Linked DNA regions of Ovis aries. The protein of the gene in region 4 purifies or fractionates together with the protein of the main gene of each other region. This does not show direct contact. Links are inferred from orthologs where the notes say so. Each region holds a gene or a part of one and is shown on either strand. Other genes may lie near its edges.

Region 1 (4,807 bases), on a different chromosome or scaffold from region 4:
TCTTGGGCCTAGCTGACCACTCCCAGTCCCTCCAGTCTTTGTGTGACTGAGCTGGTTTCTCAAGGACCCCTCCACCAGCACGCATCTTTCTGGAAGGGCAACCAGCGGAGATGTGTGGAAAAGGGATGTCTGCGTCCTCTGTGGGAATAGGAAAGTGCTTGGCGAGGTCCTGCAGCCTGAGTTCTGCGTGAGGTGGGGCTGGGGGGGCCCTGGCCTGGGTCCCCGGGGTCAGGGTCAGTGTCAGGGCCAGGGGTGGGGATGGCGTACCTGGCGGGCGAGGGGTTCAGTGAGCGTCTCCCCGTACGGGCTGAGCGGGCAGGCAGTGTAGTGCCGCAGTAGGTCCTGCAGCCGCGCGTGGGCGCTGTCCTCGCCCAGCACCACGTGGCGCCCGTCCCCTAGCTGGGCCAGCAGGAAGTGGCGGCAGCAAGTCCGGCTCCTGGAGACACCAGTCAGGATCATATCTGCTCCCTCTTTCTGGCCAGGACATCGGCACGAGGCGTGATCTCTATCCGCCCGAATGCCCGGGTTTCCCATGCTTAGCAGCCTGGGGGATGGGCTTAGACCCTTCCGCCCCTGCTGGGGGTCATCATGAAGATCTGCCCCTCACACGTTCTTCAGCACCAAGTCCCGCCCCCTGATTAGCTCAAAGTCCCGCCTTCTTGTTGTCCCCCACCCCACACCCCCGCGCAGTGCTGGCCCCTCACCTGTAAGTCAGCACAAAGGTCACGGCGCTCTCACTGAAACGCACCAAGTAGCATCCCTGAGGCTTAGTCTCCAGCAGCCTCTCGGCCTCTCTGAGGATGATGGAGAAGACACAGGGGGCTGCTCAGACTTTTCCGGCCTCACCTCCTGTCTCCCTGGCTTTCATAGGGGACCCCTACGCCCAACCAAGCCTGCTTAAGTGGACAGAGAAGGGTGGAGGCGGGAGAGAGAGGATGTGGTCACCACACTCCCGCTGCAGGGACTGGGCGTTCCACTCAGGAGACCTCCTGGCCCTGCATCCTCCTCCTGGGCCCATCCTGGAAAGGCAGCCTGGAGTGGGGGGTTCAGGGGGTCAGCGCTGCGGCGGCAGCAGCAGGGATGGTATTAGATTTCTAGACTTCAGAAGTCACAAGTTGCATGGAAGAGGTAAGCACAGAGATAGACGCAGGAGAAGTGAAGCTGAGAAGTGGAGGAGAAGGGAGGAACTGCAAGGGAGGGAAGAGAGGGGAGAGGGCTGGAGAAAGCCCGGGGTAAAGATGGAGGGAGACATGGAGGGAGAGAGACGGAGGCCGAGGAGGAGAATGAGCACTAGGATCCTTAGAGACAGGAGGAAAGTGGAGGCGCGGGGTAGGGGCTCTGGGCTGGTGCCTCTTCCGTGGTCTCCCCCAGGAGAGCTGCCTTAGCAAGTTGCCTCAGAGCCTCCAGCAGTCACAGCCTGGCTTGTAGCCTCAATCTACTCCTGACTGACGGCAGGACCCAGGACTGGCCCCTGCCCTGCTCTGAGCCTGTTTCTTCCTCTGTGACTCACCTCCGGGTGATGAAACCGTGGAACCAGATGGGGGCCGCCCCGTGCTGTAGGAGCTCATGGGCCTGGGTCTTCTGGAACCAAGCCCGAGTCTCGGCCTGTAGGAACAGAGCTTCTTCCCTTTGGTCCTCCTCCTTCCCAACATCCTTTGGACTGCAGGCAGCCCCTGGGGCCTGGAGAGGTGTCTGCATAAGAGAAGAGTCAAGGAGGGGAGAGGTGGCCATGATCAGTAGCCCTTCTTCTGACTCTAAGTCAGCTGCCGCCTCCTTATCCCTACACCGACTCGCTCTTCGACTTGTGGAGAAAGCTCCCTGTCCCCTTTCCGGTTGCCTCTTTTAGGGTATCTTTTCCCAGAAAGTCCTTCCCAAAGTCTGACTTGTTTAGCTCAAGCTGTTTTTGTTTCCAGGGAATTTCCTTCCACTTCCCTCTGGGTCCTGTGAGCCTTTTTGCCAGTAGCAGTGAGCTGTTAAACTGCGCTTAAATGGGAGTGGGGCCTTCCAGATGGACAGAAAGCATTCCCTGGCCTGAGGGATGAAGGGAGCCCCAGAGGCCAGAACGAGGAAGGGCTCACCCTTCTCGTTTCCTACCGACCAGATGGGGAGGGTTTCCTACTGACCGGTTGGGTGAGGAGGACTGAGATGAGGATGGGCAAATGAAGGCCACGGGCCTAGCTGTAGCTGCCTACTCCTGGAACTTAAATCACTGTGCCCATCACTTGTGGACTCACCCTGAGCTTCCCGGGGACAGAGGAGGAGCGAGTGGGCCATTCAGCCACTGGAGGAGGTGCTCCTCCTCTCCTTGCCCTTCCTCTGGGCCCCCCGCCATGGCGGCAGCCCCTGCTCATTCCTGCTTTGGCCTCTGTCCACCTGCAAGCCCACCCCCGGGGGAGGGGGGGAGTAGAGGAGGGAGCGGCACCCCGCAGGTTTCCACTCACCACAGCCTGGCCAGCTGGGCCCCTGGGGCTGGGCCAGGCTTCCTCGGGGGCCTGGAGTCGTGGTCCCAGAAGCAAGCCGGGGCCCTGGCAGCCCCTGCGGGTCAAGTCCAGGGGCTGGAAGGTGCTGAAAGTCATGGCCGGGGCTTCTCGGCTCCCTGTTAGCACAGAGAGGTTTCTCAGTCAGGGCCTGCGTCTCTCTCTGCCGCCCACCACTCCCAGGCTCAGGCTCAGGCCCTCCACTTCCCCGCCACCCCGGCAGTCCAGGCATCGGGGACCTGAAGGACAGGCACAGTCATCACAGCAGGAGAAAGGCAGGAGGGGTGGCAGAGATTGTTTCTCAGGGAGGAGGAGTAAGGAGCCCAGGAGGCGTAGAGGGCTGAGGTGACAGAGGGGCTTGTCAGGGCAGGTGGGCCCAGGGAGGAGCGCAGGGAAGCCAGCTGGCCCAGCAGTTCCAGAATCCGGGAGTGGAGGCAGATGTCTTCCAGTGCAGGCCCCTCTTCTGGCCCAGGGTCCTCTGCCTCCCGCCCCACTTCATCCTCGTGCTTGCTCCTCTCTCCTGTCGAAGAAGCTCTTAGCAGACCCTGTCCCCTTTACCCTCAGGGCTGCGTGGACGTGGCACCCGAGGAGGAGGAGCAGGGGCTGTGGGCCTCCTGCCCGTCAGCCTTGCCAGAGTGTGGCAAGGAGTGTGGCCAGGGTGTGGCCCCTCACCCCCGAGGTGGGAGCTTAGGCCCAGAGGGGAGGAGAGCAGGGGTCGTGGGGGTCTTGAGGTTCCCTCCTACCGACATTCTCCAACTTCACACTTACCTTGGGGGCATATCTGGGCCAGAGGGAACTCCATGGGGGGCAGCCTGAGAAAGGAGCCCCTGGAGCAGGGTGTGTGTGTATGGGCTCTCAGAAGGTGTGCATACTCAGCAACTCATCTCTCCTCTCACCCCAGCCCCCTGGGGCAGGAAATGTCGCCTCACCCACAGCCCTAGCCCTCGCGGAGGCTGCGCGTCATGGAAAGCCGTAAGACAGTTGTCCCTCCCCCGGAAGCCAGGCGCTGGAGGTGGTGGTGGTGGTGTGGCGTTTGTATCACTGTGTGTCTGGGTGTGCTGCTGTCCTGTCTCCATCCCTCCTGATTCTTTCTCCACGCCCTCGCTCCAGACTGGGGCTTCCCTTCCTCACCCTCTCTCTTCTCTCTCTCTGTGTTAGCAGTGGCAGTGGGAACATCAGCTTCAGAAGACTAAGCCTTATAATGTGATGGGGCTTCCGGCTCGTCGAAGACTCATATGCAGGACTTTGCTCTTAGGACACATGAGGAGGGGAGGGGGCAGAGCTGCAATAGGAAGAATGTGGGTCAGACTTTTGCAGGACCTTCTGAGGTCTTATGAAACCTGTGAGACAAGGGGGTATGGAGGAGGAAGCCTGGCTTCATCTTCAGGCAGGTAATGGAACTGGGTTAGGACAAAACCAACCATCCTGGAGAAAGGGAGAGGGGATTTCCTTCAATTAAGCAGGTCATTATTAATAGCAAACCTATCAGCAGTTGTTATTGATGACGTCCAGGCTGATGCCTTAAATCTGCAGTGGCCTTGCCTCTCCTGCCACCCTAGAGGACCAGTCCCATTTCTGTCTTGTGATCCTCACTAATGAAGGGGAGATGGGGGAACACTATCCCCATTTTCCAGATGGGTAAACTGAAGCTCAGAGAAGTTACGTGCCCTGGCTTGGGTCTTTCAGTGTCTCCGGTGTTCATGGCAGAACTGAGACTAAAAACTAGATCTTTCTTTGACTAACTTCACTGTGATTTAGGCCAACAGTCCGTGACTACGTGCCAGGCACTGTTCTTGGTGCTGAGAGTCCAGAGAGAAAGAGGATGGGATCAAGGCTAAGGCAACAGGTTTTTTTGTTTTGTTCTGTTTTAATATTTATTTATTTGGCTGCACCAGGTCTCAGCTGTAGCATGTGGGATCGTCTACCTTTGTTGTGGCATGTGGGATCTTGAGTTGGGGCATGCAAACATTTGGTAGCGGCACGTGGGATCTAGTTCACTGACCAGGATGGAACCGGGGCCTCCTGCACTGGGAGCTTAGAGTCTCAGCCACTGGGCCACCAGGAAATTCCCTAAGGCAGCAGTTTTAAAGGAAGGGAAGAGGGATCAGGCAGCTCAGGAGGAGGCAAGGCCTTGGAGTGTGGGTGTGACTGGGCCAGCAGTGATGCTGGGGGTCTTCTTTACTTCTCAGAGGCGCTAGGGAAGTAGCTCTGCAGGCTAAATCAGGACTCCAGAGTCCTTCTCGGGTGCAAGGCAGCATGCACTCTGGCTCTGGCACCCTCCAGCTAGGTAAACCCTAGCTGGCAGCCCCTGAGCCAGCTTCCGCTCCAAC
Region 2 (5,005 bases), on a different chromosome or scaffold from region 4:
AAGTGTAACACTCCAAGAGGGTTTGCTCTTTCCTGTCCTCCCCATTCTTGTGGCTCAGGTCCCTCCCACTCTTCATCTTCTCCCCCCACTCCAACTCCCAAACCTCAAAAGACCCAATCTGGGTCTCCTTACCTGCCTTGAACTTGAAGGTCTTTTACTGTCTCCCACTGCAGCAGGGGCAGCTTATCTTTCTGCCCTGTTCCTCACAGTCCTCTTGCACTGAGTGGGAGCATTAGGGAAAAGCCCTGGGTGGGATCTAGGGCCCTTCCCTCCTGCTTCTCTCTGATCCCTCAGAGAGAGCCCTAGCACTGCTCTTCTAGAAGGGGCCAGGCCCGTGTCATCTCTGGGGCCTTCTCCCTTCCTCCTGGGTGGCTACACTTGGTGGGTGCAGCCTGATGCTGTGTGTGGCAGAGCTTCCCTTCCTCATCCCTTTATAGAGGCAGTGTGGTACAGTGGGGAGAGTTCTGGACTTGGGATCCAACATGTCTGAATTCAACCCTTGCTTCTGCACTTAATATCAGGGGAGCTTTGAATAAGCTACTTAATCCTCTCTGAGCCTCAGTTTTTCTTTTGTTAAAATAGCACTAATGACACCTCCCTTACAGGGTGGTTGTGAGGATTAAATGTGATGAGCTTGTGAAAGTGTCTGGCATATTCTAGGCTCTCAATAAACATTGGTTGAATATGAACTGGAATGATATGAAGTGTGATCATACCTTTCATTCTTCATTCGTGTGTAAGTCATGGTTTCCTCCTGTCTGTCTTCCTCGGCTCACTGGGTCCGTTTTACTTCCACCTAGCCAGGTGCCCTTCCTACCTTTCCTGTCCTGGAGGGCCCTGTGGTGACTAGACATTGTAGGCTGTTGTCCCTCAGAATTTCCTGGGTTATCTAGCAGGGGGTCTGGGAGAGGAGTAGCAGTGTAAGCTCTCAGATACTAACTGATTCATAAATTCTAAAAAAGAATATACAGTTGGCCCTTGAACAACGTAGTGGGTGAGATGCCTACCCTCTGCGCATTCAAAACTCAGACAATAATTTATATTTGGCCTTGTTTATCTGCAGTTGCATACCCACATATTCAGCCAACCTCCCATCGTGTAGTATTGTAGTATTTTCTATTGAAAAAAAATCCAGATAGGTGGACCCACTCACTTCAAACCCATGTTGTTCAAGGGTCAACTGTGTTGAGTGCAAGCTGCAGTGGGCACTGGACTAAGTGCTGGGTATTCTAGAGAACAGAGACGAGATCTCCAGTTTCACCGAACTGGTCTTGTAGGAGGACTGGTCAGTGAGCAAATGAAACGAATTTCAGATGATGCATTAGAAAAAACAGGCTGATCAGATAGTGATGGGGTGTCTGAGAGGGCCTCTGAGCAGATGACATTTGAGCTGAGACCGGAAGAACGAGAGGAGGCCACCTCTGGGGGAAGAGCATCCCAGGCCCTGAGACGCGAACTCATGTGCGAGGGGCAGAGGGAAGGGCGGAGTGGCTGGAAGCCAGCGAATAAGAAGGGGTAGGTAGCCAGGACCCTGAAAACCCCTACCGGAAAAATGAACGACGTCCCCGGGCGGGCCCCCTCCCTGCCCCGGGTCCGTAGCCCAGGTGGGCGGGCGGTGGGCGGGGTCAGCCCCGGGCCCACCCCGGGGGCGGGGCGGTACCTGGGGCTCCGGTCCGGCCGGGGGCGGGGCTGCGGACGCTCCCCCTTCTCTCGGCTCCAGCCGGCGCAGGCAGCCGCGGCGGCAGCAGGCGAGCCGCGGCCCCGCGAGGCCATGAAGGTGAAGAAGGGCGGCGGCGGGGCCGGGACGGGAGCGGAGCACGCTCCAGGGGCCTCGGGCCCGAACGTGGAGCCCAAGCCGGAGCTGCAGGCGGAATCCGAATCCGGGTCCGAGTCGGAGCCGGAGGCAGGCCCGGGGCCCAGGCCGGGGCCGCTGCAGAGGAAGCAGCCGATCGGGCCGGAGGACGTGTTGGGGCTGCAGCGGATCACCGGCGGTGAGCACCCGCGAGGCAGCATCACCCGCGGGCGGGAGTGAGAGAGCGCGAGAGGGGGCCCTCCGGGCGCGCAGAGTCTGGGCCCCCGCCCCCTTTCCCGCCCTCCCCCGCCTCCCCTCCCCCACCCGGGTGCCCCTCTCTTGTGTCCTCTACCCTTCTGCCTCCAAGCCTGAGATCTCCATGTCCCCCCTTTCCTCGATCTCTCTCTGCGCTCGCCTTGTCCCTTTAGAGATTCGTTTCCACCCCTTTCCTTCCTTTTTGAGGAGTCCATCCCCCTTTCCCATGGTGGAGGTGGGGCAGCAGCTGCAACTGTGACCCCCTCCCCACAGAGTCTTCAGAGTTTTTTGAAGATCTTCTCTGCAATAATGAGGAGGGGGCTGAATGCAGTCAGTCCCCAGTCTCCTCCACCCTAGAGGCTACGTGTGGTATCAAAACCCTTAGGTCTCCTTCACACTGGACACCCCCAGGAAGTCTGGGGCCATCACTCTCTCCAGGAAAGGACCTGAAGAGGAAGCTTCAGTGCTTTGACTCTGGGCTTCTCAAGGAAGTGGGTTAATACCCCCTTTAGCCTGAACTAGGGCCTGTCCTCTTCTGGGAGGCCAAGCCACCACTGTGGTTGAGTTTCTGAGCTGGATTGCCAAACTGAAGTTCCAGCTTTGCCGTCCTATTGGCTGTGTGACCTTGGGCTAATAACTTCACCTCTCTGAGCATATTCGTCTGTAAAATGGGAATAATGACCCCTAACTTTAGAGAGCTGTTGTGAAAATAAATCCTGTGATTTTGCACTGTGCCTGGCAGGCCGTGCATGCTGTGTAAATAGGGCTCTTTTGTCAATACTGAGGGCCCCACAGGACTGCTCATGGCTGCTGCCTGGAGGCAGACAAATGGGCATTCAGGGCGGGGGAGGGGGTCACCGTAGGCAGGGAACAAGGGAGGGAAGTCTCATGGCAGAGGCCGCGGCTGAGCCTGAAAGAACAGAAGGCACTTGGAGAGGCAGTGGCCTTCTATCTTGGCCTCATTGGTTAGTACCCCTGCCCTGGCTCCCTCTGTGAGGGCAACTTTTGGAGTCCCCCTGTGAGGGTAGGGAGCAGTTGCTGGACTGGACCTGAGCTCTGGTGCTGCAGGAGCAGAAGAGTCCAGGGCTTCCAAACAGCTGTGGAGGGGACTGTGATGGCAGGTCTAGGCCTGTGCATCTGGGTCCCCAGGGGACCAGCATCTCCCTCCTCTCTTAGCCAGGCAGCAGTCATTCTTGGCTGGGCCCTCGGAGCACTGAACTGCCTTACCCAAGCAGGCAGTAATAGGGGGAAGGTGCCTGGACCAGTCTGATGGTGGTGCCAGTTGGGCTATAATTGGCAACAGTAGCATTTAGGATTCAGGTTAGCTCTGGGGCAGAACTTCCCTATAGGATGTCTAACTTGTCCCAGTCCTAGGTAACTTTCGAGGTGATTTTGCAGCCAGAGGGACTTCTAGCCCATATACAACTGTGTGTCTGAATTTGGAGGAAATTCATAGCCCTTAGAGATTCAGCATCTGTGGGCGATTAGAGGAAGAGTCTTCACCAGATCCCTCTTCTTTGTGGAAGCTGAGAACAGGGCTCCAGGAATCTTTCCACTGGCACCCCTGCCTGTCTCCTCTGACCCTAATCACACAGGTCTGAGTTTGTTCTTCCTGGATTACCCAGACCTGAATCCAGCTTAGGAAGCTATTTGTGGCTGAGGCGAAGGGAGCAGTTGCATTCTGAGCCCTCAGCCACTCTGCCCCTTATCGGGCCTGACCCCAAGTCCCAGGCATCATCCTTCTCCAGCTGGGGGAGGGAGTGGAGGTGGTGTCTTGAGCCATGGGCATCTTCCATTCCTCACTTCCTCTAAGGACAAAGGGATTGATAGGCTGAGTTTGCAGTAGAAGAGACAGAGGTCACACTGCCAGTTGTTCTCCAGTGAGAGGAGAGTCTCTGGAAGTTAGGGAATGGGGGAAGGAGTGGAACCCTATGGGGAGCCAGGAGCTGGGCGACTAGGGTGCTGTTCTGAGTTCTGCCTCTTCCTCTCCTCTGCCCTGCACTTTCCTCCTACGTCTTTGGATTAGTGTTTACTTTCTGTGAAAATAAGTTGTGTCCAGGGTGAGGCAGGACCTGCCTACTTCCATTCCTCCTCTCCCCACCGTGGGCTGTGATGGGCAGGCCAGGGCTCCAGCCCCACCATAAGTCCTGTGTAGTCCCTGCTGGACCCCAAGTGCCAGGTGGCCACCAGGAGGGCTTCCTGGAGGGGGCTGCCCCATGCTTGGGAAGAGAGAATGACTTTACATTCACTTCCTCTTCCTGCCCCAGAGAAATCAGTGGTGGCCTAGGGGCCTAGCGGGTGATTTCCGGGCCTCTGCAGGGAGGATGTGATGCTGTGCTGGCACCAGAGCCCCCACTGCACCTCTCTGTTTCTTCCTATTTGCTGTTGGGGCCTCCTCCCTGAGTGCTTGCAGTTGCCGCTGCAAGAGTGGTGAGGGTTGGATCAGGCCCTGCTATTTCTGAGCTTCCTCAAGCCGAGCCCACCACTGTTCGTGGTTCCTCTTCTGGGCTCAAGGATTCCCCTTACCCCAGTCACAGCCCTGCTATACCTGCCACACCCTCTTACTGGCCTTGCCTCTTCTCTCTGGGGGTAGCTCAGAGTCAAGGGTGGATGGATTACCTTTAAGGGGGGGTTCCCTCCATAGACCTCCTCTGCTAAGACCTCCTCTTGTTTGAAGATCAGTGGGGGATGAGAGCAAAGGTAGCTCCCTTTCCCTCTCCACACCCCGCTCCCCCCCAATATTCCAGGCTCTGGGCTTGAGTCAGCAGAGCTTTGACTAAGCTGCTTAAGGGAGCTGGGTTTGTATAAGCCTCTTATGGGGAGAGGAGGGGCCTGGGGGGTGAGGAAGAACAGGGAAGGGGTTGTTTGTTTGCCCCAGCACTACCTAGGTCAGATAAAGTCCTTGCTTGACACACTTAGATGTGGCACCGGCGTATCCTCTCTGCAAATAGAGCTGTC
Region 3 (4,316 bases), about 160 kb from region 4:
CCTTGGCCCTTGATGTAGGTGGCAGGAACTGCCTGTAAGGTTTAGAATCTGCCTTCTTCTGTTGCAGTGATTGTTAAACTATGAGAGAAGATTTTTCCATTTTAAGTATAATTTACTATATACATATGTAGATGAAACAGGAAATAAGCTGTGCCTTGATGTGTAGTGTTTTAATAAGGGGACTCCTCCTACTACTACTGATAATGCTGATAAAGTTCAACCTTGAACCTTATTTCCTGCCCAAGCTGAAAGGGTTTTTTTAATTTGATTGATCGTTTTCTAAACCTTTCTCTCTTGACTATTCCACAACAGATGTTAATACTTTAGAGGGAAATTCCATGTTCTGTTCATTCATAAGCCCTCCATATTGCCTTAGCTACTTTGTGTGATTTTGACTTTTTCTGTTTCATTTCGTTTGTAGGGATATGATGATACATACGCAGAACAGAGTTATGAAGGCTATGAAGGCTATTACAGCCAGAGCCAAGGGTGAGTCAGGCAGTGGAATTGCTGTTTCATGTCCTTGGGATATAGAGGGAGTTGGAAGAACTGGGAGATTTAGGCAGAACAAATCTAAGGAGCAGATGGATCACCTTTTCAGAGTGTTGCCTCTGCTTGTGACATCTGTAAGGCACACACCTGGATCTGCAGATTTGGAAAACTGTGAATCTTAAATTATAATGCTGAATCTGGGATTAGCATATGAAAAATTCCTTAGCTGTGACTACATGGGAACAAAGGGAAAATGCCTTAAAATTGTTTTGATTAGTTATTTTAAAATGTCACAACTACATTAAAGTTGCATAGAAGTTTAAAAGGGTACTAGATTCCCATTACTTAACTCAGATTTTTTCTGCTCTTTTTTTAAAAAACACGTTTTTGTGTATGTGTATATATGTGTCTAAACTGTGATGGGAAAGGCCTCTCATAATTCTGCAGTGGGGACAAGACAGTTCTTTTCATATTTGCTTATTCTCTTCCAGTGAGCCCTGTGAGTGTGTGTGTGTACACTGGTTAACACTGAGCTTTTTGGTTGAGCTTTTTCACTTTAAATTGTGTGCTATTCATTTTTCTTTGCTGTAGTTGTCATAATTTTTAAATGAGTATCCAGTATGTACATGTTTTGGAAATATTTTACGTTTGGAGATGGGGGTAGAATGAACTTTTGTTTGTTTTGCACCCTCAGTAAAATGACTAAAATATGGAAGCATTTGGGAGAAAGGTAAAACTGAAACATGGTTGCTGTATAGCTCTAATACTCTGTCTTTGGCTTTCAGGGACTCAGAATATTATGACTATGGACATGGGGAGGTTCAAGATTCTTATGAAGCATATGGTATGTCTTTATTTCTGTGGTGGGACAAAATGTGCAAGTAAGTGCCCAGGAGAATGCTGGTGATGGGATTATTGGGGGTCAGGCAGTCATACACCTAAGGAGAAACCTCATAAAAAGATCAACATGTTGATAGACGTGACACTAGAAATCCTGCTCTTATTTAGATCGTGTGGTGTGTAGTAGAAAGAAAGACTGTTGAAATGAGTTAGGTGTACTCTTGGATGGCTAAGCAGATGTCCTAAACTAGGGCTAAGGTCCAGGTTGACTGCTTGGAGCAGCAGGCTTTTTGGCTGACACTGACTTTGTTTCTGCTTTAGGCTGGGAGATGGCTAGACCTGGGTTATGTTGCTGAGCCTTTGCTGCAAGATACCTAGGCCACATTGATGGATAATAAGAATGGAATCATATCCAACTTTTCTGACCCACCTCATTTTTAAAAACAATTTTGGATCTCATTGTAAAGAATCTCAGTGTAGGGGATATGCTAGCTGAAAGAGACCCAATGACAAGAGCAGTTTGAGGGCAAGAAGGGTGCCTGTTAGATTAGAAACTGGGGACTGGAGCCGGTTCAAGACGGTTCAACTTCCTGACTGTCTTGGAGACATCTCAACTTAGTCCTTAATCCCAAGAGAGCTATAGATGCTGGAATGGCAGCAGGACCAAACTGCCTTTCCTGAGGCCTGGTTGAAAACACATTGCTCAAGCGGTATCCTCAAGAGCCAGATACGGCCCTGTGATAATTGGCCCCAGAGGGAGTGCCATGTGGCGGTAGATGCAGAGAGAGCAGCCTTTTAAATATGAGGTGTTTCCAGCATACCTGTGGGAAGTCCAGAGACCTTGGCAAGGGACTCAGCAGTTGACAACTTAAGGTAGTAGTTGACAGTCTCCCTTACACCTAACTGAAAAGAGGAAAGAGCCTCTTAGGGTTCCCACAGGTAGACTCCTCACCTCCTCAGCGTAGTATTTTGCAGCCAGTCAGCTGCTTGTCCAGGGGAACAGTTTTTACCAGCTCTAGCTAAATGGTCCTGGACAGTTGCCATCTGTAACACTGCACTGCTCTGCTCATATGCCACTGTTTAGAAGGGTGGTATGATTGCCCCAGGGTATTTCCCATCATCGGTGAGCAGTACAATGGGACCGCTGTAAGTGTTTGACTAAATTACATTTCTGTTTTGCTAGAAAAAAAGCTGCATTGCAACAGGCAGGCTGCTCCTTGTGCTCCTGGTATGATGCTGCCATGGTTAATCTGTTCTGATTTCTGCCTTTATAAACAGAGTTAGAAAAATATACTGCCTTATTGGTACAGTAAGAAGTCACTTAGAAAGTGATAGACATGTCTATTGTACTAGAGGTATAAACAGGCTTAGATAGCAACTTTACATCCATGTAGGGGTTTTAGACCTAGAATGATGGAAACAGATGTTTGTGAATGCAAAGTGAAGTCAAGTGAAGTCGCTCAGTCGTGTCTGACTTTTTGCCACCCCGTGGACTGTAGCCTACCAGGCTCCTCCGTCCATGGGATTCTCCAGGCAAGAATACTGGAGTGGGTTGCCATTTCCTTCTCCAGGGGATCTTCCCGATCCAGGGATCGAACCCGGGTCTCCCGCATTGCGGGCAGACGCTTTAACCTCTGAGCCACCAGGGAAGCCCTAGAGAAATAGCAAGCCTGGGTAAAGTCTGGGGGTGAGTGGAAAGAATAAACTTATAAACACAACTCCCGTTCATGAGAGATCAACTCTAAAAGTACATGATTGTTTTTGCTATAGGCTTTTCCCTGACACAGAGGAAAACCATTTGAGGATAGCAGTCACGTTGTCTAGCTTCTCTGGACTATTGGCACCAAAATGAGATAATGAATTCTCCTAATGAGTGCTGTTGACACATTTGATTGTACTTCCCACCACCAGAGCAGTGGGCCAGCTCTGCTGGTGGAGGGTTCTTGAAATGTGACCCTTGCTTGCTCTTCCCAGGGAGCCAGAGGATACTTCTTCACAGGCAAATCTGACTTGCTGTTGCATGGAAAGGGAGCTGCCTCTGTTGCTTTCAATCTGAAAGACTTCCAGAAGTTGTCACCTTACTTGAGGCTCTCTCCTGAACGGCTTTGAAAATAGGAAAGAGCATTGCAGCCCCAGTGAGATTGATTTCCTCACTGTCTGAAGCAAGGTGTTGGGTTTATCCAGGTTTGGGGGCTGGAATATAGATCATGCATGTTGCCTATGGACAGCTTCTTTCTTGGACATCACCGCAAGTCCTTTCTGAACTGTTTGCTTCTGGCCATCCACTCAGAACTGCCCTATACCTGGGAAGTTGCCTGAGCTGCTTGGGAGGGAGGGCGAAGCAGAGTAAGAAAGTAAGAACCACAGAGGAGGTGGCAAGGCATTGGAAGCAAAGCAACATGTTTGGTGATCTTTACCAGGTGACCTACACCTGTCCATTCCAAAATGCCATTGGCACATGGTTTATAAACTGTTCTTGCTTTTCCCCACAGGCCAGGATGACTGGAATGGGACCAGGCCGTCGCTGAAGGCCCCTCCAGCTAGGCCGGTGAAGGGAGCATACAGAGAGCACCCATATGGACGTTATTAAAAACAAACATGAGGGGAAAATATCAGTTATGAGCAAAGTTGTTACTGATTTCTTGTATCTCCCAGGATTCCTGTTGCTTTACCCACAACAGACAAGTAATTGTCTAAGTGTTTTTCTTCGTGGTCCCCTTCTTCTCCCCACCTTACTCCATTCTTAACTCTGCATTCTGGCTTCTGTATGTAGTATTTTAAAATGAGTTAAAATAGATTTAGGAATATCGAATTAATTTTTTAAGTGTGTAGATGCTTTTTTCTTTGTTGTTTAAATATAAACAGAAATGTACCTTTTATAATAAAAAAGAAGTTGAGTAAAAAAAAAAAAACACAAACCTGTTAGTTTCAAAAGTGACATTGCTTGCTTAAAGGTTCTGAAGTTAAGGCTTGTTAACTTTCTC
Region 4 (4,783 bases):
TCCACTGCTCCCCTTGTCTCCAGAGGTTCAGGCAAGGAACTAGGGATACGAGAAAAAAGGTTCTGCAACCACCGAAGTCTGAGACATACCGGGTTAGACAAAAGCAAACAGCCGCCTTCTCTGGGGAGACTTTCAGAGTTTCCACAAGCCAACACTGATGGTAAATTTCACATGGACACTTCATAGCTGAGGCAGTGTTGATTTGGACCCAGAAGTGTTTCCTTTCGGGGCGCCTCGTGGGACTAACATTCTTTAGACCAAGTGTTGGAAATCTAGCTCAGATACCTTCCAACGAACACCCAGATGGAGGCCCCACTTGCCTCCATCCCACCCACAAACTCAGCTCCCCTCAGCATTGCTTTCACTGAATTGGGCTTGGCCTTGAAGCCATCAGTCTGTGGGTGTGTGCATGGATTTATAGGATCCCACTGTGGTGTTGGAGAAGACTCTTGAGAGTCCCTTGGACTGTAAGGAGATCCAACCAGTCCATTCTAAAGGAAATTAGTCTTGAGTGTTCATTGGAAGGACTGATGTTGAAGCTGAAACTCCAATACTTTGGCCACCTGATGCGAAGAACTGAGTCATTGGAAAAGACCCTGATGCTGGGAATGATTGAAGGTGGGAGGAGAAGGTGGTGACAGAGGATGAAATGGTTGGATGGCATCACCAGCTCAATGGACATGAGTTTGAGCAAGCTCCTGGAGTTAGTGATGGACAGGGAGGCCTGGTGTGTTGCAGTCCATGGGGTTGCTGAGTTGTATACAACTGAGTGACTGAACTGAACTGAACTGAGCTGATGTGTGATATATATGTGGTCCCTGCCTCTGCCTCTGAACATCCATGCACACCTACATTTTCCAGTGATGATATGAATGGTATTTGGGCTAGGAAGGGAAGGATCATGTGTGTGTGTGTGTGTGTGTGTGTGTGTGTGTGTGTGTGTGTGTGTGTGCGTATCTATGTGTCTGTAGGAAGGTATGTGTGGGACCCTCCTCCAAGATAGACCCTGTGGCCCAGCCTAAAATTCTCACACCCACTAGAACACACAGGAAACAAGCTCATTTGCAAAGCTACACCACAAGTGTGAAGGAATGGGCTGCCCACTGGCCTGCCAAGGTGCTGAGTAGGAGTAATTCCGGGTACGGACAGCACCCCCCAACACCCCCACCGCACACACACCCTTGGGTGCACCATTTGCAGGAGAAGTGGTTGCCTAACCTCTGTTAAGCACCTTCGGCATGCCAGTTACTACCCACAGCACATCACAGCCATTTTCTCTTTGATTTCCCACCAGCACTCTGTAAGGAGGGATTTATTATTGCCTCTTTACCAATAAAGCAACTGGAGTTTGAAGAGGTGAAGTCATTTGTTCAAGGAAATGGCAGAACCAGAATTGTGCCTGGGTCAGCCTGACTGTGAAATACATGTCCTTTGCGCTACACCAAACCCTCTGGCTCTCTTGTGTTTGGTCTTGCCCTGAGGTTTCTGCCCTCCTAGGATCCAAGGAACAACCCAGAGACAGTGACCCTAGCTGCATATCCTAGGTACTCTGCAAAATGGGCCTTTGTTCTCATAGCCGCCTGACTCTTCCAGGAAGCCTTCCGATCACCCAAGCGAGGCCTCCTCTCGACTTCTGGAGCTTCCGCTCATTCTCTTGCTCCATCACTTGGCCCTTTTTCCCTTTGAGAAGCGCCTCTGTCCCAGAGCTTTGAGGGCGAGGGACCCTGAATCATCCTTCAGCACAGGCTAGGGTGGGGGACGGCTGATGCCAGTCCAGGGTCTGGATGAGTCTAGGGAAGACCCAGCTTGTTTTCCAGACCCCACAAGAGGTTGCAGGCCTTGGAGCTGGGGATGAAAGAAAGACTGCGACATGGCTGAGACAGTGGAAACTGTTTCAAGAAAAACTCCAGTGGCGGTGGGGGAGGCAGGGGAAACCTGGAAAGTGTGGCTCAGGTAGGGATTTACCCCCATAAACTACAGGCTGAGAGCTAAAATTGAGGGGATGGACAAGGAGCTGATTCTGCCTCCCTGGGCCTCCACCTTCCTGGGGTCTGAAGCAGGAACCAGCAGGACCCACTGGCCCTAATCAGGCAGTGGCAGGGGCAGGGGTAGGGGGCAGGAAGGAGCAAAGGGAAGAGGAAAGGACATCCTGGCAGGGGCAGGCGTGGCAATTTTCCAGATGGAAATCCAGATGGTCCTTGCCCAGGGCCAACAGCACCCTTGTCCAGGATAAAAATAGCCCTTCCTCTTCCCTTCTCCCATCCTCCTCTCACCCCCCAACATCCCGGAGTCCTGTCAGATACTTCCGCCCCAGTCCTCATCCCAGATGATAAATATTCCCTTGCATGCCCATCCATTCCCAAAGGAAGACCCCCTCCTTCTCTCAAGCAGTGTGGGTCGAGGCTAAAGTCACTCCTCACGTGTCTGTCCGGATGCTCTGGGTGATTCCCCTCGCTCTCTCAAGAGAGTCTTGTCACTGGGGTCTACACCAGCAAGTGGAAGGACTCTTGGGACCCTTGACTCAAGCCTGTCTATCACCTTGCTCCAGTGGGGAATCACATCCTAGGCCATCACCTCTCCCAGGGCCATCACCCTCTCTGCCTCTGCGTTGCTGACGGACTATGGGGAGGGAGCATTTTGCCCAGTCTGGGGCTTAGGAGGCTTATCCATCATGGGATGAGGGGCTGGATGCAGGGATTTCTGAAGGCCTTTTCAGTACTTAAGAGATCCCCAAGGAAAAGGCTCCCAGTGAGGTGGGCTCTGATGGCAGGCAGTGTGGTGGAGGCACAGCTACACAGGAAAGAGGCGATCTGGCTGTTCAGCCTGCCTCCCACCTGACCTCCAGGTGTTTCTGACCCCAGCCTGATAGGCTGCGCATCCCAGGGGAGCCTGACCCTAGGCCCAGCTGCAGCCTTCTGCTCGAAGGTCCCACTCCCAGCCCTTAGGCCCCTGTTCCGGGTACTCCTTACCTGCCCAGCCCAGGAGCCCCCTGGCCCCATTCACATGGTCTTCCTGGCCCAGCCCGGCTGCCCAGACACAGCTTCGGCTCCCCTCACCGTCGTAGCCACTGGCTGTCTCCCCGCGCCCACGTCCCACCCTGACTTCCTGCCTCCTCCTGAGGGCTCCGCAGCCAACCGGGCCCCAGCAGCCCAACCGCAAGCCTCCAGCACCCCAAGCTTCCTGCTGCCATCGCCCCCTGCCTCTCAGCCCTCTAGGGTCCTTTCACCCCAGTCCAGGCCCCATTCACCCCGAAGGTGGCACCCGGAGGTAGAGGAGAATATTGGATGGAACTTCCTCCGCCCCCCCCCCCAGGGAGCACCTGGACCAGAGATTCAAGGGCCGCCTTGAAGCCCCAGTGAGCAGGAGGCAAGGAGACACCCACTCAGCTTTCAGTGAAGGGCAAGCTGCACGGCTATCAGTCTGAGAGCCAGGTGATCCTTGCACTACAGTCAGAGGGCAAAAGTAACATCCCCTCAGAGTCAGGGGGAACAACATCCCTGTAAAATCACTGGAGGGCAGATACGATGATAGATAGATACCAGGCGCACACAGCTGCTAGCCACACAATGGAACCACAGCCATGCCATCTCAGGGCATGGGGAAGAGCTTTATTATTTGCAGAGGGGAGGCTAAGACCCCTCCTACAGACAGTCTGCTGGACAACAGGCTGTTCAAGGAAGCAGACAGGACAACCCGGTGTCTTTAAGGGAGCAGCCTCTTTTGTGGGCAGAGGGCAGGACAACACCCCCTAATTATGGTTGGAGAGTAGGGCAACCCTTCTAACCCAGGTAGAGACAAGGCCACAGCCTCTGTCAGAGGCGAAGGCCTGACACCACCTCCTGCAACAGGTGGGAGACAGAACAAACACTCCTGCCCAGGCCCCCCGGTGCAGGCAACAGACTGGCAGCACTTTCTGCTACAGGCAGGAGGAAGGGACCCTGTCACAAGCACGAAGCAGGCCAACAATCTCCCTTTCCCCAGGAGCCAGGCTGAGGGTGGCGTACGTCAGAGGCTGAGGGCCAGGTCACCAGTGTTACGAGGAACTCTAGGTGGCCTCTCTCGGGCCCAAGAGCTGGGCCTTGGCCGCACCCATCGGAAGACAGAAGCCTGTTGCCACCGCCTGAGGCTGCACTGAGGTAGCAGGCTGGGGGAGGGGAAGCCCACAGAGCATTGTTGGGGTTTGTGAGGTGGAAGCCGATGCTGTATGCACCTTCAGCTGCTGCGGAGAGAAGGGGGAGACAGGAAATGGGTGGGGGGAAGAGGAAGCCTGAGTTGGAAAGTCAGACAAAGAGGGTGACACAGAAACAAAAGCTGAGAAACACGAAGTTTTTTTTGAAAAAAAAAAAAAAACTAAAAAACAGGCCTACAGAATGACACAGAGCCCCGGCTGCAGGCCCCACCCCCTTGCTATGAACCTGAGCACTTCACAGTTCATCTCTGGGCCCCAGAACCACAGTAAGAACACAACTGGGGCTAATGATAATAATGCACTTTTTATTGAGGACTTACTGTACATTATCTCACTTAAGATGTGTCTAACTGCTTGTGGAGTTGGATTTTCCATTGTAAAGATAAAGAGACAGCTGCAGGGGTTAAGAGAGCTCCTCCAGGTCTGATAGAATCAATGTTGCAGCTGGTATTGAACCCACGTCTACAAGACCCTGCTTTCTTCAGCTGCTCATTTATCTGAGTCGCATTCCATAGGGGTGATTTAGACTGTTACATTTTTTTCCAGTCCTCATCTTGATGAGACAGAGCAATAGAAGTGGAGCTGTGGGGGAGA

What was found.
Region 1: the proteins of LCK (region 4) and SH2D2A purify together in Homo sapiens (co-immunoprecipitation; 3 studies listed by IntAct, with this or other methods). This does not show direct contact. The link is inferred for Ovis aries from reciprocal best matches to the Homo sapiens genes LCK and SH2D2A.
Region 2: the proteins of LCK (region 4) and UNC119 purify together in Homo sapiens (affinity purification with western blotting; 3 studies listed by BioGRID and IntAct, with this or other methods). This does not show direct contact. The link is inferred for Ovis aries from reciprocal best matches to the Homo sapiens genes LCK and UNC119.
Region 3: the proteins of LCK (region 4) and KHDRBS1 purify together in Homo sapiens (affinity purification with western blotting; 5 studies listed by BioGRID and IntAct, with this or other methods). This does not show direct contact. The link is inferred for Ovis aries from reciprocal best matches to the Homo sapiens genes LCK and KHDRBS1.

What each region holds. Positions count from the first base shown.
Region 1 is NC_056054.1:106,760,755-106,765,561, forward strand, and holds the start of SH2D2A (SH2 domain-containing protein 2A), read right to left. Parts: upstream 3,400-4,807; 5' UTR 3,280-3,399; coding exon 3,246-3,279; intron 2,964-3,245; exon of another isoform or gene 2,717-2,963; intron 2,597-2,716; coding exon 2,442-2,596; intron 1,693-2,441; coding exon 1,511-1,692; intron 795-1,510; coding exon 705-794; intron 437-704; coding exon 268-436; intron 1-267. UniProt on the Homo sapiens protein: Could be a T-cell-specific adapter protein involved in the control of T-cell activation. May play a role in the CD4-p56-LCK-dependent signal transduction pathway. Could also play an important role in normal and pathological angiogenesis.
Region 2 is NC_056064.1:19,957,336-19,962,340, reverse strand, and holds the start of UNC119 (protein unc-119 homolog A), read left to right. Parts: upstream 1-1,704; 5' UTR 1,705-1,771; coding exon 1,772-1,991; intron 1,992-5,005. UniProt on the Homo sapiens protein: Involved in synaptic functions in photoreceptor cells, the signal transduction in immune cells as a Src family kinase activator, endosome recycling, the uptake of bacteria and endocytosis, protein trafficking in sensory neurons and as lipid-binding chaperone with specificity for a diverse subset of myristoylated proteins.
Region 3 is NC_056055.1:235,447,812-235,452,127, reverse strand, and holds part of KHDRBS1 (KH domain-containing, RNA-binding, signal transduction-associated protein 1), read left to right. Parts: intron 1-421; coding exon 422-489; intron 490-1,277; coding exon 1,278-1,336; intron 1,337-3,824; coding exon 3,825-3,922; 3' UTR 3,923-4,017; exon of another isoform or gene 4,018-4,316. UniProt on the Homo sapiens protein: Recruited and tyrosine phosphorylated by several receptor systems, for example the T-cell, leptin and insulin receptors. Once phosphorylated, functions as an adapter protein in signal transduction cascades by binding to SH2 and SH3 domain-containing proteins.
Region 4 is NC_056055.1:235,285,775-235,290,557, forward strand, and holds the start of LCK (tyrosine-protein kinase Lck), read right to left. Parts: upstream 3,084-4,783; 5' UTR 2,970-3,083; intron 1-2,969. UniProt on the Homo sapiens protein: Non-receptor tyrosine-protein kinase that plays an essential role in the selection and maturation of developing T-cells in the thymus and in the function of mature T-cells. Plays a key role in T-cell antigen receptor (TCR)-linked signal transduction pathways.